Linked DNA regions of Canis lupus familiaris. The protein of the gene in region 2 binds, or shares a complex with, the protein of the main gene of each other region. Links are inferred from orthologs where the notes say so. Each region holds a gene or a part of one and is shown on either strand. Other genes may lie near its edges.

Region 1 (8,572 bases), on a different chromosome or scaffold from region 2:
AATTTATAGTTATTTTAATAAAAATGTTTTTCCAGACTGTTAAAGATTATATGTTGAATAAATGCAATCATCCCCTATTTTAAGATTTCCAGTGTTACCATTAAAAATCTTTTTCAAAAGTTCCATCAGCAATGAAAAGTTCTTGTAATACTCGTATTCTGGTAAATATAGGGTAAAAGCTCCAATTGTTTAATAATGTGTCAGCTCGCTAGAAATACGTGTTTGCTGTAAAGAGCACTCATTAAAAAAATATGAAAACTTCAAATTATCTCTTAATAAAATTAAATTTTCAGAATAAACTATTTCAACAACAAAAACCAGGAATTGGGTTAAAAAAATAAAAAGTCCAGCTTATACTTAATACTTAATTTTAACTTAATTTTGATGTGACATTTTTCAGTTCATCATTCTGTAAAATGATTAAAAAACCTTTTTTTAATTGTAGAGAAATCTTGTAGGCAAGATAATTCTAATCCATTTCTGAACTAGGTCAGAAAAATCTTTTTGAAGGGATATCAAATTCAACAATCCACACTAATTCATTTCTGTTTTATCATACAATCCAGAACTATTTTGGACCAGTAAACCTCTAAAATTGCTACTTCCATTTTCATTCACAATAAATCAATCAAGTTCTATCAAAATTCTTTTGAAAACTAAAATTTCTTTCTGAAATAAGACCTGAAATATGCACAAGAGATGGCTGGTCGAACAATTCTGCTTGTGTGCTATATACATGTTTAACCAAATACATTAAAAAACTTTTTGACCTGATCTCATAAATTAGAGAAAATGGAAACCAATAGATCTAGAATACAAAACTGTAGGACAGCTACACTTCAGTTAGAAAACCATCCAAGAAAGGTTTCTTCAAAAATCAGAATACACAATACAATTGGACAATACTTCCAAATTGGATAGGAATTTCAAACAAATCTTTGTCCTTTGACCTAGGCAGTGACAGGCAAACAAAGTATTATCAGTTCACAACTGGACTAGATTGACTTCTTCCTAACTAAGTATCTGTAGGAGCAAATATCAAGTGGTATGCATCAGTAAAGCAGAAAAGCCCAGTATATAATATATTGTTACTAATAAGGTATTGGTAGTGAGGAAGACTTGCGCTCTTCTTTTTTTCTGATAAATTGCTGATGGATATACACTTTTAAGACTCAATAAACAGCTTGTCAATTTCTCCAAATAAAAGTTCTGCACATATTTGGAACTCATACTATCAAATGTGTTCTTTTTTCAAGGATGGGAACTGAAAAATTCCTGGCAAGATTTAGACTTAACACTACAAGGTCAAGTGCTTGCCAATCTATAAAACTTGAAAAATACAAGTTGCATGAAACAGAAATTCCCAAATTTCAGAATGCTATATATGGGAAAACAGAGGAAGCCAGAAAGTTAAAATAAACAGACAATATTACATCACTGGTAATAAGTTTAAGAAGTTCAAAAGGCACCAAGAGCTGAAAATACCATGAACTCAAAAAACGTAGAGAGAAATTAGTTAAGAGAATAATAATTGACAGTGTCTCCAATTTGTCTGGCACTCTACTTTCACATCTTCTACAATTATTAGGACGAATCATAAGAAACTGTTGTTTTTGTTAGATATGGTCAAGTATTGGCAATTTTCTTTCTTCATTTCGAACTCATACATTCTATTTGATCCATTTTAGGTTATATGGAAACGAGAACCATTTTGGAGGTTTTTAATCTCTTTAGAGTATTGATGTTTGTAAGAACTGTCCCTTGATGAAGCATAACTTGGTAACATAATGATCTTCGCTGAACGGGTCAAGGGTATGTCATTTTTCAGGTTCTTTCCATGAGACGTCAAGTAAAATTCTAGCTTTACCTCTCTGCCACTAAATATCTGAAGCTTTTTTTTTTTTTTAAGATTTTATTTTTAAATAATTTTTACACCCAACTTAGGACTTGAACTCACAACTCACAACCTTGAGATCAAGTGTTGCATATCCACCAATTGAGCCAGCCCTAAATATCTGAAGATTAAACATTTTAAGTCACTTTGGTCCTTAATCTTTTTGCATTAAAAAAAAAAAAAAAAAGTGAGGTTGAGCTATACTGTATTTAAGATCCTTTATGGTTCTAAAATATGACTTAAAACTTGTTTTTAATTAGTTCTTACAGGAAATTCAAATTTTTAAACGTGAACCCAAAGGCCCCAATTCTAAACGGCCTCTGATTAACTACTGTTTTATGTTCAATACCTGCAGATACATACTTGCACTAGTAAATCTTAGATGTCAACCACCTGTACAGTATCTCACCTTCCAGAGATTCAGAATTTAACATTAAACAACTCGCTATTAAAGAGCTAAAGTACAAATTAGCTGATAAATTGGAAAGAGCCTATGAAATATCAAAACTAAAATTTACTAAGTTTATCAGAGTCTAAAATGGCAGACAAGTTGAGAGGGGCCCAGGTAATATCAGAACCCAAAGCTGACTAAATATTATACATACAACTATTTTCTGTAATTAACAAAAATACATATAATATTTCAATTTAAGGTTTGGCTCAATTGTATGCATTTGTGGGTAAACTTACAGTTAAATCAATTGTAAATTTTTAGCAATTACACTGACTTTTACATGTATAATAATGCTATAAAATCACTTTCCCTGTGATCACATGCCTGTGTCAATGCATGTCTAAGTACGTCTATTTTGATACAATGGCTGCTAGAGTCCTGGGAGGGCAGTTTTGTAGACTGTAAGATAGTTCCCCACAATTTAAACAAACATAATAAATTGAAGTTTAGCAAAGTGACCACAGAAAATAACAGAACTACCATTCTGAAGTTGTATTTTCAGGTTACCACCAACATATAGAACCAAAAAGATTTCTAAAGCACCGTCAAAATGTCTTGCAGGGATTTGCTATGTGCAACTAAGTCAATGCTAAAATAATAAAAGTAGTAGCTTCTCCCTTTACACATCATAAAACATTTTTTAAAAGCACAGTGCCTTTCCTCAGTGAAATTCAATGGCAATAAAATGCCTGTGAGCACAAAGATATAAAGCATATACCTTCAGTTAATACTTAAGTGATAGGTTTCATACAGACTAACATTGGTCAGTGTTATTGGGGAAAAAAAACGGTACTGCCAGTACTATACAAATTAAAAATACCTATTTAGCTTGTTGCACAGCCAAATCTTTTTTGCTTACATGTAAGTATAAAAATTTTGTCAACTATGCTTTACACAAGCCGGTGTTACTACTAGTATTTAGGTATACCTAGACCAGTTTCTTAAAGAGAAAAATTAGATTAGTAACGATTTCACACTTGGTTCCCTACTTTCCACAAAAAGATATTTTGTTCAAGTTTCAGTCATCTTTCAGCCACCAGAAAGGTTAGTAGCACCATCTAGCACCAGAAAGCAGGCCGGCTACAACTGTTAATTGTCCTGTTGAAGTAAAAGGAAACTATCTCCGTATTAACAGAAAATGCTTGTAAGATTTAATTCTCCAATGTGGCCACAGCAAGTTTACTGACAATCATGTTCACCAAAACATGTTTATGCATACACTCTTCCCTGATTATGGCTGTAATTGAGAGATTAATAAAGCCTGTATCCGAACAGAACCAATGTTCAAATTAAATGATTGCAAAGTGCTTGGAGGAGGAGGGAGGATAATTAAAGACGGTTAAACATGATTATAAGCTAATATAAACAAGGATCCAAGACCCCCAAACGTGCATCATACAGGCTTGCTGCATTTACAGGAGTATCAAGTTAAGCCAGATCAAGACGTCTTCCCTTCAAAACAAGTTTCATTAAATAACCGGTAGTGTGTACACGCACTTTACATCATGTACCGTACTATATGAAACGCAGAAGTATACACATCCATCCACTGCCACTCTCGGCCCTCACACTCCCTGCCCCGCACGGCCTGGATCTCTCTGCTGGGTTCACCCTCTTTGCATTCCATCCACTTACCAAGAAGCACAGCTGTGGCCAGTTGTGGATAAAATATCTATACGTATAAATGGAGTAGGGTTCAGACAGATCTTTGGTGATCAGTCTCATGATATCGGGCATTTGTAGCTCGGATTCATATCGGACATAACGTATCGTCCGATCCTCCCCAGGCTCAACCTCCCTGCCCGAGGGGCTTCTTAAACTGCAGCCGGTGGTCAGGGATGAAGACAGCAGCCGCACCTGCCGGTCTTCCTCCTCTTCCTCCTGCTCGGTGCCCTCCGCCAGTCCATTGCGGGCCGCCGCAGGATCGCTCGCCGCCACTGCCTCTGCCGGGCTGGGGAGCGCAGTTCTTCCATTACTGGGGAGGCAGTGAGGGGGGCTCTCGCCCGAGTGTACCCCAGCTCCTTTTGTTGCAGTCGCTCTGGGCCCCCCGTCGGGGGTGGCCGTGGTCGTGGCCGCCTCCGCCGCGCTCAGAACCTTGCTCTTGAGGGAGGCGGCCGCCCGGAGGTGCCGCAGTTCGGGGCTGATCAATCCGTTGAGCTGCTGCTGCTCCTGCGGCGGCTGAGGGCAGCGAAGGCACGGATGCCCCTTGGCCGCCGCCGCCGCCGCCGCCTCGCCGCCCGCCGGGCTCCTACCGCTGCCGCTGCCGCTGCCGCCGCCGCCGCCGCCGCCGCCTTCGTGCTCCTCGTCGTCCTCCTCGTCCTCGCTGCAGCAGGCGAGGGCGGCCCCCGCCGGGAAGGGGCAGCGGGGCTCGGCCGCCGCCGAGGCCGGAGGTGCTGGTGGTGGGAGGAGGCTGCTAGGCCCAGGCGGTACCTCCGCCATCCTAGAGGCGACACAGACCGAGAGGGGAGGCCATGAGAGCCGGCGGACGAGCGCGCCGCAGCAGAGGGGGCGGCGGCGACGGTGTGGGGGGGGAACAAAGGCAGAGACCGTCCCTCTCGGAGCGGCCCCCCCAATTCCCCAGGGCCGCGGGCCCCCCCGCTCTTCAGCGCCGCCCAGCTGTTCAGCCGGCCACCGTCCCCGTCCGCCCGCACCCGTCCGCCGGCCCTGTCACCCGCGCCCCTCCCTGCCCGCGCCGCGCGGCTCACCCCGCACAGGTCCCCGCCGCCACTGCCGCCACTCCTCTTCCTCCTCAGCCGCCGCCGCCGCCGCCTCCTCCGCCGCCGCGGCCGCCTCCACCGCCGCCAAGGTTCACACTCAGCCGCCGTCGCCGTAAAGCGCCTCGGCTGTTACCCCGGGTAAAGTTTCCTAGGCCTGGCTTTACGACACTTCCCTGCCTGCCGGCTGCCGGGGCCAAGGGAAAGGGGCGTGGAGGGAGGTGACCTGTGGAGGGGCGGGGACGGAGGTGTCTCCTGCGGGCCCCGGGCGGGGGCCGCGTGCTGACGGGTGGGGCAGCGGGGCGGGGAAGCTGCGGAGGGCTTTGGAGTCTCCGGCTCCCCGGCCGCGCGTCCTCGGCTTTGGGACTCCGCCGCCGCCCGCGGAGCTCCTGACGCCGGGCCGGGGAGAGCAGGGGGCGGGACCGGAGCTCGGGGGTTGCAAGCGCGCCCGCCCGCCCTCCCGCCCCCGCGGAGCTGCCGCGAAGCCGGCCCGCTGGAGGCCTGCCGACCCGGCCGCGCGGGAGTCCCCTAAAGATGCTCTTCCTCCGCGCTCCTGCGTTTCCCCAGACCCGGGGAGGAGGGCGGAGGAAGGAGGGTGGTTACCTGAGTCCCTTGAAAGTGGAGCAAAACTAAATAGGGATAAATTAATTATATTAGTTTATAAATTAAATAAATAAAGGAGAAAAGAGAGGACGTTAGGAGGGGGTTGAAAACTGGTTTGTTTGTAGTGTGAATTAAGCTTAACTCGTCTGCCCCTTTGAGACCAGGGAAGGTGGACAGGTAGTCCCCCTCCTCTCTCTTTACCCGCCTTCACCCCACCCAGGAATTCGGAGGTAAATGTGATTTGGAGATAAAGGTGCTGGACAGATGCAAGCGCGTCTAGGGAAGGCTTAAGAGATGGTGGAGGAGAGTGAAAACGGCCAGAAAAGCGCGTTTCTAAACTTGTGACAAGAACTGTCACCGGGAAAGTAATGCCCTGAAGCTCGCTCCGCACTCGCTCCACCCAGCGGTCGGCCCAGGCGCGTTGCAAAAGGAAAAGCACCGCGGCACGCACTTGAGCGTGTGGCCCCGCTCTTTTCCTCCCTAGCCCGCAAATGGTGATGCCCAGCAGGTCTGTTCTTGTAACTCTCCACCACACGGAGCGAATTCAAGCTTTTCGAAGACCCGTTTGTAGAGCCAGTCATGTCAGCCGCAGATGGACGTCTTCAGGGACATAATTCTGTGACTGCTTATGTTTGCAACTTCCTGCCATGGCATGAACTCTAGAAAGTGGGATACACTGTAGCATAGCTATTAGGATACAATTTTTAGGATCCTTGTCACTAAAGATAGTAAGGACAAACTACCACCTTCCATATAGAAGTTCAGTCGATAGTGATAAAAAATAATAAAATATGTTACTATGTACCAAGTCCTGTTCTAAGTATCTTACAAGTATTTATTGACTCATAAGTTTTAATAAAAACTGATTTATAGGTTTTTTATAGAAATATTGACATTTATTTCAGCCTTGTCTATAATCGGAAAAAATAAGTCCAAACCACCTTTGTATCTATTAATACAGGAATGATTAAAATAAGCTTATGATACCTAATACATGGACTATAATAGAATGTATTGGTACACTTCCAGTTACTATGACTGCATTGCAAATTATCCCCACAACCCAGTGTTATAAAACAACCATTTATTATGCCAACAGATTCTGTGAGTCAAGAATTCAGACAGCACAGCAGGAATGACTTTTCTCTGTTCCCTTATGCATAGGGCCTCAACTGGAAGTCTGAGGATTAGAATCATCTGAAAACTTTTCACTTTCATGTTGGTGATTGATACTGGCTGGAGGCTGCTGGCTGGAAACCTCAGCTCAACTCCATGTAGACCTCTCCAGGTGGTCTCTTAATATGGACTGCTTTGGGCTTTTTCACAGCATGATGGCTAGGTTCCCAGGGTGAGTATCCCAAGAGAAGGAGAGCCAGGTAGGAGCATATTCTCTTTTATCTGCCTTAGAAGTCATGCAGTGTCAGTTGTGCCACCTTCTATTTCTCTAGGACCTCACAAAGCCTCATCCAGGTTCACAGGCAGGGGAAATAAACCATACTTTTTGATGAGGAGAGGCAAGGTTTTTAAAGAGCATGTGGAACCAGAAATATTGCTGTGGCCATTTTGGTGCTTAAGACCTCTAAAACACCCTAAAGAGATAAAGTAAACAAATAAGTACAATGGGATCCCATTTATGGTTTTTAAAAACTAAGACAAAAACCGTATTTCCAAATGCACATACATTGTTTAACAATGCATATTTTTCAAATGACGTAGGTTCAAAGTCAAAGAAACAATGATCTGGGGGTGCCTGGGTGGCTCAGTGGTTGAGCACCTGCCTTCGGCTCAGGTCATGATCCTGGGGTCCTAGGGCCGAATCCCGCATCGGAGTCTGCTTCTGCCTCTGCCTGTGTCTCTGCCTCTCTCTCTGTGTCTCTCATGAGTAAATTGAAAACAAACAAACAAACAAACAAACAATGATCTGTTCAAGTCATGCAGGAAAAAAAAAATGGCCAAAATGGTTCCATACAATTCCCCAAGACATATTGAAGGATCTTTTTTACTTAGAAAAATGTATCTCATTATCTGTGGAGTATAACCCTGTCCTAAAAAAGATGTGACTCCATGTAATGAATGAGTGACGGCAAGTCTTAATGTTCTTTCTATACTGTAACTTGGTACTGAGCTTTCTCACACTGAGGAGTTCACTTAATGTTGTCTCACAGTTATTTTCAGAAAGACAAGAGTTATAAAGACCTTCTAGAGGTCAGTGACTGAGTCTTATTTACGTATTATTCACATATCTAATACATGAGACTTGTCTGGGTTTTTTGTTTTTTATTTTTTTTACTACATATGCTATTCTCTCAGCAATTGAGAATGCTTATAATTACAGAGTAAATTCTGGCCTGCTTGCTAGTTGATAAGTTAATAAGATATCTGGTATCTAAGCTCCAGTGACTCTGCTTTATATCCTATTAAAATCCCAATGATGATCTTCTAAGTCAGAAGACTTCTCTAAGAAACCTATCCCTTATATTTGTAAAAATCTTTTCTTTTTTATTCATGTTTGTGAGTAATATGCTTATGGCAGCATTATTTTAGGTGTGAAAATAGGATTAGTTCACTCTAACACTTTAGGCACATTTGCCTATAATGAGGTTCTGAAAAGACAACTATCTCTGTGTGCAATGACTTCAGAGGAAGGAATGGTCTTGGAGCAGGGAAGGTGTAACCAGTGATAGTCTTCTATCTGGATAATTGGTATTTTCATTGTTTTGTCATATCTTATGATGCAATAGTCACGTATTAACTATTGTCTTAATTATTATTGTCTTAACTATTGTCTTTGTTCTCTTTTGAACAATGAAAGGACACATTTAAGTTTTTTAGAAGAAAAAACTCCTCATTAAATCAATTAAAATAACCAACAGCAATTTTGAAGTACTAGCCTAAAGCAACTTCCTG
Region 2 (8,544 bases):
CCAAATCGTGAATGCAAGGAATCCAGAAGTAACAATAAAAGCATGCTATCTAGAATTATGGATATTAAAATAACCAGCTAAAAGAGGGAAGGCGTTGACTTCTGAGGACAACCTTTCTGTTAACCAAAAATTCCCAACAAAAAGGAGGCTACACAATACCTAATTAATGAGAAAACCTGTTAAGATGTATTCAACAATGCAGAAAAGACCTCAAAGTGCATCAAAGCTCCCATTCTCTTCCCACTGCTTATTCTATGTTAATGCTAGTTGTTAGAGGTGTTAGGACATCCAATATCCATATGTTCCCTTCCCCAAGAATCCAGGGTCAGAAAGATTAAATGATAGTCGAATATTATTGAAAGTAACCTAAATAGAGTGAACTACACAGCACTGTTGGCATTTTGTGCAAAACAATTACTTCTTTGTGGGGGCTATCCAGTGCAGTATCCTTGGTGTGTACCCACTAGACACCAGCAGCCACCCGCCTCCTACTGTGACGACCAAAAATGTTGCAAGACATTGGCAAATGTTCCTTAAGAAGCAAAATCAACCCTGGCAGATAATCGCTGATCTAAAGTGACCCACAATTACTAGTACAGCCCACCCCACCCATGCCCCACCACTGAAAACATTGAGAAGATGTAACAAGGAAAACATAAATTTCCAAAATCAGAATCACTTAAAATTTTCTTTACAGATCTTTGCCCAATATACTTACTTAGATTTGCCCAGATCTTTCACCAAGCCATTTCCATCTTTTTCTTCTTGAATAAAGTAATACAAACAGCAAATTCCTAGAACAAGGACTCTCAGATTGGGGTTTATAAATTCAGCAGAGGAGTCCATGAAAGTTTTATCAAGAATCTATGTTTTGTTTAAGATAATTGTTAAATGCCATGTAATCAGTTTGGTGATAATTTTTTAAGAAGATTACAGATTACCAAATGGATACTAACATTATAATCAAGTATTGCTATAATTTCAGTTCCCAATCTTGTGTTCGTAATTACATTGGTTTCAGGCAATCACCCAAAATGATAGCATTTAATGTAATCCAGTGGTTCTCAAACCTCTGAAGTACAATATCCAGATACTCTAATATGAAGAAACATGGCCTTAAATTTTTTTTTTTTTTTTTTTTAAGATTTTATTTATCTGAGGAACCCTGGGTGGCTCAGCTGTTTAGCGCCGCCTTCAGTCCAGGGCCTGATCCTGGAGACCAAGGATTGAGTCCCACATCGGGAACCCTGCATGGAGCCTGCTTCTCCCTCTGCCTGTGTTCTCTGCCTCTCTCTTTCTCTGTGTCTCTCATAAAATAAATAAATAAATAAATAAATAAATAAATAAATAAATAAATAAATAAATATCTAAAAATATATATATATATTTTATTTATCTGAGAGAAAAAGCGCCTGCACGAGAGTGGGCACGTGCAGCAGAAGAGGCAGAGGGAGAGTGAGAAGCAGACTCCTCGCTAAGCAGGGAGCCCAATGCTGGGCTTCATTCCAGGACCCTGGGATCATAACCTGAGCCAAAGGAGACGCTAACCAATTGAGACACCCAGGCACCTTTCATTCACTCTTTAAACAAATATATCTTAGGATCTACAAACATTCTAAATGAGAGAAGACAACACAAAAAGGAAAAGGAACAAGAAACTTAAGAATCCTAGGTTTTAAAAGAGGAAGAGAAATCAATAAAAGTTTTCCAAAAGTACTGGGCAAGAGTGGGACAAACTGGATAAGTGATGGGGCCTTAAAACATGGGGTGAGAAAGACAGAGGAGGAATGAGTAAAACCATCAAAGAGAGAAGGATATGAAATGACAGGATAGGCCCATTTCATTCTAGACTAAAGCTCAAAAAGAATGGAAGTAATGACAGCCAACCTTGGATTACCTCTGAGTTCTAGATACCTGACAGTGTCATCAATCTAGGATAAACAGTGTGGAAGAAAAGAATCTGATAGGTAGAAGAATGAGCAATATATATTTTATGATCATTTAAGTTGTAGGTTTGTACTTCAGAAAGCACCTAATTTTAGACAACCAAATGAAATATGAAGATCAAAGACTTTTTATAGGAGGCAATGAGATGGTTTGAATTAGGCAGTTTCCTAGAGAAGCAAAGCTCAGAAGTGTTAGATAAATGACATGTTACATACCAGGCACAGTAACAGTAATAGCACCATATATTCAAAATAATTTAAGGGGGGAAAAAAAGCCCTCCTACCCCCCAAAAAAGGCCAAGGGCCTCAATGTTGAAAATAGGAAATGTGGAGGGAATGTGTGCCATCTGCCTAACAGGAAATAAAAGAAGTGATGAAATTAGAATTTGGTCCAGAAGACTTCGAAGAGTCACTAAAAGAACAGATAGAAATGTACATGAAAAACACTGTCATCACTATGCAGATTGCTTTCTCGGTACCAAAATAAATAATCCCCAAGGTCTAGTCAAATACCATCGCACTGTTACTGAAGAGGAAAGACCACTGCAACAGTTACAGGGTATAATATTTGTTTTAAATTTAGCCCTCAGAAAGCTGCTGGAGTCTAAGCTAAATTAATGCTATGAATCTGATTTCAAGAAAACAAATTATTAATAATATAGGCTCAAGAGCTCCCAAAAGACTTTAGTCCTAAATCTATATGTAAAGGAAGATCACTTCTACATCAACTTTTTCATTTCAAATATACCTCACATCTGTGCCACTTCAGACCAAGCAAGAGCTAATTATTGAAAAGTTAATAGGATGGTTTGAGGTTGGCAACAAAATGACATGCTCCCCCTCCTCAATCCCCACTGAGACAGGAATAAAACCATATTGCCTATTTAAGGTTCTGCTCATGAGGAAGCAAAATTACTCACTCTCCCTCAAATATCCAACTCTCATGAACTCTGGTGAGAGTAACAGTTCATCTGAGTCTAGAATAATTCCCTCATATTCACTTACAGAAACTCCACCACTCCTCTAAGGCCCAACTCAAGCCATATGAACTTCATAAAGCCTTTTCCATTTAGGTTCAGAACAACAACCCTCTAATATAGATCACTTAAAAATCAGTGCAGGATGACGGGCATAATCCATCAACAGTTTAAGATCTCTGGGCACAGAAATTACACTGTAACTTACACTTCTTTCTCTCTCCCTTGGATAGATGGATATGGGCAATCCCCCAATTTCCAGTCTAATATTCTTTCCACAATTTCACTTTTGCTTTCTTTAAATGGACACGTTTCATAACAAAGGGTCAGTGCACGTGTTATCATTTTGCTTATGCCCAGCTGACTCCCTTACCACCTGCAGCTACTCCGAGTCTCTACTCCTCCTTCTAAGGGCACTATTCTAAACACTCCATCTCATCAACAACGAAGACTTAACCTTCAGTTTAGTAAAAACAGAGAAGCCATCAGGGTGTGTATCCCTCTACCATTCCTCCCCACTCGTTTAGAAATCTACCTGTTTCTTCACCAATCCTAACCTCAGTTCCTCCTGTCTCAGTAATTCCTCATTCTGGTCCCCTAAGTTAATTTCTCTACCATGTTCTTTATCCCATCCTCTCTTCAAATTCAATCTCTCACTCTACCATTTTTTTTTCCAAAAAAATTTTATTTATTTATTTGAGAGCATGAGCAAGAGAGCACAGTGGGGAGGGAGGCACATGGGGAGGGCAGAGGGAAAGGAAGAGGTAGGTTCCTGAAGTGGGGCTTGATCACAGGAACTGAGCAGGAGGCAGCTGCTTAAACAACTGAGCCCCCCAGGCACCCCTCCCACTCTACCATTTGTCTCTTTCCTGTCTCTCCCTAAGACCCATTCTCCTCAGACAACAAATATGCTCACTTCTCTAATCATTTATGCCTTTGCATTTGTTAAACCATTACTATGTTCCAGGCAATGTTCTCTGTGTTAGGCTTACAGACAAAATGTCTGCACTCACAGAGCTTTATGTTCCAGTGGGTAGGGCTGACAGTAAACAAGAAATAACTGAAAGGACAGCTTCTGATAGTATATAAGTATTATAATAAAAAATAAATAAAACAGAGTGATTCAGGTGAGGTAGAGTCGGACAGAAGAGAACAGGGCTAAATCTACTAAATCTACTTAGATTAATTGTTTGGAGACATCCTCCCTGGGGAGCTAGCATTTAACTGGCCAGGAAGGAGCCAGCTATGTGAAGGTAAAGACCTGGAGGCAAAGCAGTTTAAGATACAGAAAAAGAAATATGCAGAGGCCCAAGGGGAAAATGCCCTGGTGAGCTTAATGGCATAGAAAGGACATTGTGACTAACATAATGAGCCTAGTTGGGCAGTGGTACAGAAATGAAGTCAGTGGTAGACAGGCATCAGACCACACAGGCCACGGGGATGGAATATGGATTTTATTCTATATTGAACAGGAAGCCACTACAGGCTCTTAGACAGGAAATAATGTGATCTGATTATTTACAAATCTCAAACATATAATAGTCCACCATCTTTAGGTCAAGACAATTCATGTTTGCACAGTCTGAAATTATTGCCATGTACTCTCTCATCTGTTAAGGCTAGAAAAACTGAAGCAACTGCTTCAACATCTGTATTTCATGCACTATCAAATACTGGCTTTAAATGAAAGTTAAAATTATTAAGAGGGTAAGGAATGAATAAGTGTGGTTAACAAACTTGATAAACCACACTTACCTGTTGCTTACGTTTGAGTCTACAAATCACAAGATTTTATTTTACCTTTTCCCAGGTTGTTAATTTCTAACCCAAGAATTCAAACTCACCTCGACAAGCTTCTTCAAAATCTTGGGTTATGTCCACCCAGCTTGTATTGCTTTTTTCCATCTTTTCTGGTATACTGAGCTCCCATCCTGAATCATCATCTTCTACAGAAGCTTTCATGACCATAATGCCTATAAAATTAACACTGGTGTAAAAGAGATTGTGGCTTTCAGGGCAAGACTATTTGCAAGCCATGTGTGTTCACTCAAGTCCTGGATGGAAGTCTTACTAAACTGCCAGACTTCATCGGAGTTTGATAGTGGCAACTGGGAAATAAAAAAAATAAAAAATAAAATAAAAAAACCTTAACGCAATTAAACCTTACGTTAAAAGCACTGCTGCTTATTTACTAATAGCCGAGCACCTACAAGGGCTTTTAAGAGCTTGCCTTCCCACCATCCAAGGAAAAAAATCAGAAGCCACCCCCCCACCACTGGCCCAAGCAGGATGAACTCCAGAGCTTTCAACTTTGCACACCGGACACAAATGAGGAAGGCACTCTTCAGAGCCGCCTCTCGCAGCCCGGGGCCCACGAGGCAACTATTGAGTCAGGGTGGTCCCTCACGTGCCCGGAGCTCTCCGGGCCCGGCAGGACCCCGCACAGCCTCGCACGGCGGGCACCGAGGGCGGGAGCGCCCCGCAGGGCACCTACTCGCCCGGCCCAGAGCGGCTGCGCACCTGAGGCGGGACCCGCCCCACGACCACCTTCCCCGGGTCAGCCCGGCCGGGCCCGGCGCCGGCCCCGGCCCCACAGGGCGCGGAAGCAAGGACAGAGCTGTCGTCGCGCGGGAGGGCGGGCACGCCCGGTGCCGGGTCGTCGCCCGGGCAACACCGGGCAAGGCCGGGGCCTCGGCGGGCGGCGGGCAGCGGACACCGGAGAGCCTGCAGCTCCTACCTGAAGCGCGGCGGGAGGCCGGGGCCGCAGGGTGACCTGGCGTCCCCAGGGTCCGCCACACGCGCGGGGGGCTGCGGCTCTAGGACGCAGGAGGAAGGGAGAGTCAATGGCTCTGCACCGGCAGTCCCTACCTACTTCTCCCGTGGCCACCCGCGCCGCCACGCACCGTCCAGACCGCGGAAATAACGACGCCGCCTCAGCCGCCTCAGCCGCCGCCGCCGCCGCCGCCGCCCCCTCCCCTCTCAGCCCAGCCCGGCCGCCCCGTGCGCGCATGCGTACGCCCGGTGCGCGCGACCCGCCCCCTCTCCCTCACTCCTGGGGACTTCGCGCGCCCCGGCCACACCCCCTCCCTCACCATTGCCACCGATGGCTGCCGTCTTCTCTTCTCGCGGGATTAGAGCCAATCGCGAGACCGGAAGCTACCTTCCTTCCCCTGCCTCAAGCCTACTCCCGGGTGGTGGGCGGGTCCCGGGGAGGGGTGGAGCTTGGGGGGGGTCTGAGCCCCGCCCCTCCCCGCGCGGCTCCCTGGGAAATTATTAGAAAGGTGACGGTAAGGCGGGAAAGACCCGGGAAAGTCCTTGTAGACCTTGGCAGTTGTGTCCGTGCAAGAAAAGCCTGAGTGTGAGTTTCACCGAGCTAGTGCGGCCTGACACAGGATTCAGGCGTCCTAGAGAGCCTGGAGGATTCCTGAGGGAAAATAGAAACAAAATATATGCAGTCAACCAAGCCATTTTCTTTCAGACTTGTAAACGTTTTAAGTTTTTCTTAAAATGTATTCATGATCCATTTTAGAGTGGTATTATGTAAGTAGAATGGCAGGAATAAGAAAACACCTTTACTACTACATTTCCATTGAAATGGCCAAAATTTAAAAGACGACACCAAATGTTGACAAGGACTTAGAGCAACTGGACCTCTCATCTGTTGCTGGTAAGAATGTAAAATAGTGCAGTCACTTTGATTGAGTTTGTATTTTACCAGAAAATCGATCATACACTATCACTTGATCCAGCAATTTCACTCCCAGGTATTTTCTTAGAAATATGAAAATGTTTCTTTTTTTTTAAGATTTTATTTATTCATCAGAGACGTACACAGAGAGAGAAGCAGAGGCACGGGCAGAGGGAGAAGCAGGCTCCATGCAGGGAGCCCGACGTGGGACTTGATCCCCGGTCTCCAGGATCACACCCCGGGGCTGAAGGCAGGAACTAACCACTGCACCACTGGGACTGTCCTATGAAAACGTTTCTGAAGTCGGAATGAGTTAGGGGCAGATGAAGCTAGGCAGGGAAAAATAAGGGAAAGGCCCAAAGTCAGGCTCCTACCCATCCCAAGGAAATAGATTAAGACAGTAAAAATAGAAAAGAAAAAAAAAATCAGGCTCCCTAGATCTAAAATGTAGGGAGTCTCTCCCGTTTGATGGTTACCAAGCAATCACAGAAACTCACCAGACCCAAAAACAGCCATATGACATTCACTCAAGAAAGCATGAAGAAACCCAAAGCCATAGGCTCCCTGGTTAGGTTCTCAGTAAAAAAACAGCCAAAAAACCCTTCAGGGGCAACCTTGTTGGATCCATTCTCACTTCTGAGAGCTTTGTCTGTATCTTTGCTTAATAAACTTCTATCACTTTACTCACACTCCGTTGTCAGCAAGATTCATTCTTTGACCCCATGAGACAAGAACCTAGCTCTCCCATATCATTTCCACTTGTACATTACTTTTCGTAGCTTCATTTTTAGTAATCCAAAACAGGAAACAACCTAAATATTCATCAGCTGGTGAATGGATAAACAATCTGTGGCTTATCTGTACAATGTAATAATAATTACCAAAACACGGGTGTGAACTACTTGACATGCAAAAACATGAATCTGAAAAAACATTATGTTGAGCAAATGAAATCAAGAGTAGAAGCAAATGACTATGTTTCCATTTATATGAAACTCTAAAAAAGAAAAATGTGGGGCACCTGGATGGCTCAGTGGTTGAGCATCTGCCTTTGGCTCAGGTCATGATCCCGGGGTCCTAGGATCAAATCCCACATCAGGCTCCCCGCAGGGAGCCTGCTTCTCCCTCTGCTGCCTGTGTCTCTGCCTCTTTCTGTGTCTCTCATGAGTAAAAGAAATAAAATCTTATTATTAAATGTTCTGGGGATCCCTGGGTGGCGCAGCGGTTTGGCGCCTGCCTTTGACCCAGGGCGCGATCCTGGAGACCCGGGATCGAATCCCACGTCGGGCTCCCAGTGCATGGAGCCTGCTTCTCCCTCTGCCTGTGTCTCTGCCTCTCTCTCTCTCTCTCTGTGACTATCATAAATAAATAAAAATTTAAAAAATAAAAATAAAAATAAAAAAATAAAAAATAAAAAATGTTCTGGATCTTGATTATGGTAGTAATTAGATGAGTGCATACATTTGTAAAAATTCATTCACTTATGATGTGTCCATTTTACTGCCTGCAATTTAAACCTAAATATAGTTGCTTATTTATTTGAGAGACAGTGAACACACAAGAGAAAGAGCATGAGAAGAGGGGCAGAGGGAGAAGGACAAGTGGATTCCACTTTGAGCAAGGAGCCTGGGGAGTGGGACTTGATTCCCAGGACCTCAGGATCATGACCCGAGCTGAAGGCAGATGCTTAACCTACTGAGTCACCCAGGCACCCCTAGAATTGCTTTTTAAAAAGCAAAAAATACATCTGTATGTCTCTTACAGAATAATAGGTTTTATAAAAGCAGGAGCTTTGCCAATTTTGATCACAGCTACCTCACTCAGGGTGGTGGTTGGCGTATAGTAGGTGCTCACTAAGTGCACTGAGGATGAAAATGTAGGGAAGAATTACAATAAAGCAATTCTATATTGTTTCTCCAAAATTATTTGATGA

Evidence for each region.
Region 1: the proteins of NAA35 (region 2) and NAA30 are in contact, whole or in part, in a cryo-EM structure (PDB 7MX2), measured with the Homo sapiens proteins. The link is inferred for Canis lupus familiaris from reciprocal best matches to the Homo sapiens genes NAA35 and NAA30. Residues at the interface, in NP_001308810.1 of Homo sapiens: Leu45, Gly46, Leu48, Leu56, Ala59, Met60, Ala62, Glu64, Lys69, Glu121, Phe313, Pro314, Arg315, Ala444, Leu510, Glu511, Leu512, Glu517, Pro605, Lys606, Phe607, Glu608, Leu609, Asp610, Val614, Arg615, His618, Arg619; in NP_001011713.2 of Homo sapiens: Glu221, Pro238, Ser240, Tyr242, Thr243, Arg245, Tyr246, His249, Asn250, Lys304, Ile324, Glu334, Asn335, Leu336, Gly337, Val339, Arg340, Asp341, Lys342, Arg343, Phe345, Arg346, Tyr347, Tyr348, Leu349, Leu359, Trp360, Leu361, Arg362.

Annotation. Positions count from the first base shown.
Region 1 is NC_049229.1:33,241,771-33,250,342, reverse strand, and holds the start of NAA30 (N-alpha-acetyltransferase 30), read right to left. Parts: upstream 5,292-8,572; 5' UTR 5,054-5,291; intron 4,789-5,053; 5' UTR 4,788-4,788; coding exon 3,984-4,787; intron 1-3,983. UniProt on the Homo sapiens protein: Catalytic subunit of the N-terminal acetyltransferase C (NatC) complex. Catalyzes acetylation of the N-terminal methionine residues of peptides beginning with Met-Leu-Ala and Met-Leu-Gly.
Region 2 is NC_049222.1:74,344,314-74,352,857, forward strand, and holds the start of NAA35 (N-alpha-acetyltransferase 35, NatC auxiliary subunit), read right to left. Parts: upstream 4,892-8,544; coding exon 4,768-4,891; exon of another isoform or gene 4,734-4,767; intron 3,414-4,733; exon of another isoform or gene 3,280-3,413; intron 1-3,279. UniProt on the Homo sapiens protein: Auxillary component of the N-terminal acetyltransferase C (NatC) complex which catalyzes acetylation of N-terminal methionine residues. N-terminal acetylation protects proteins from ubiquitination and degradation by the N-end rule pathway.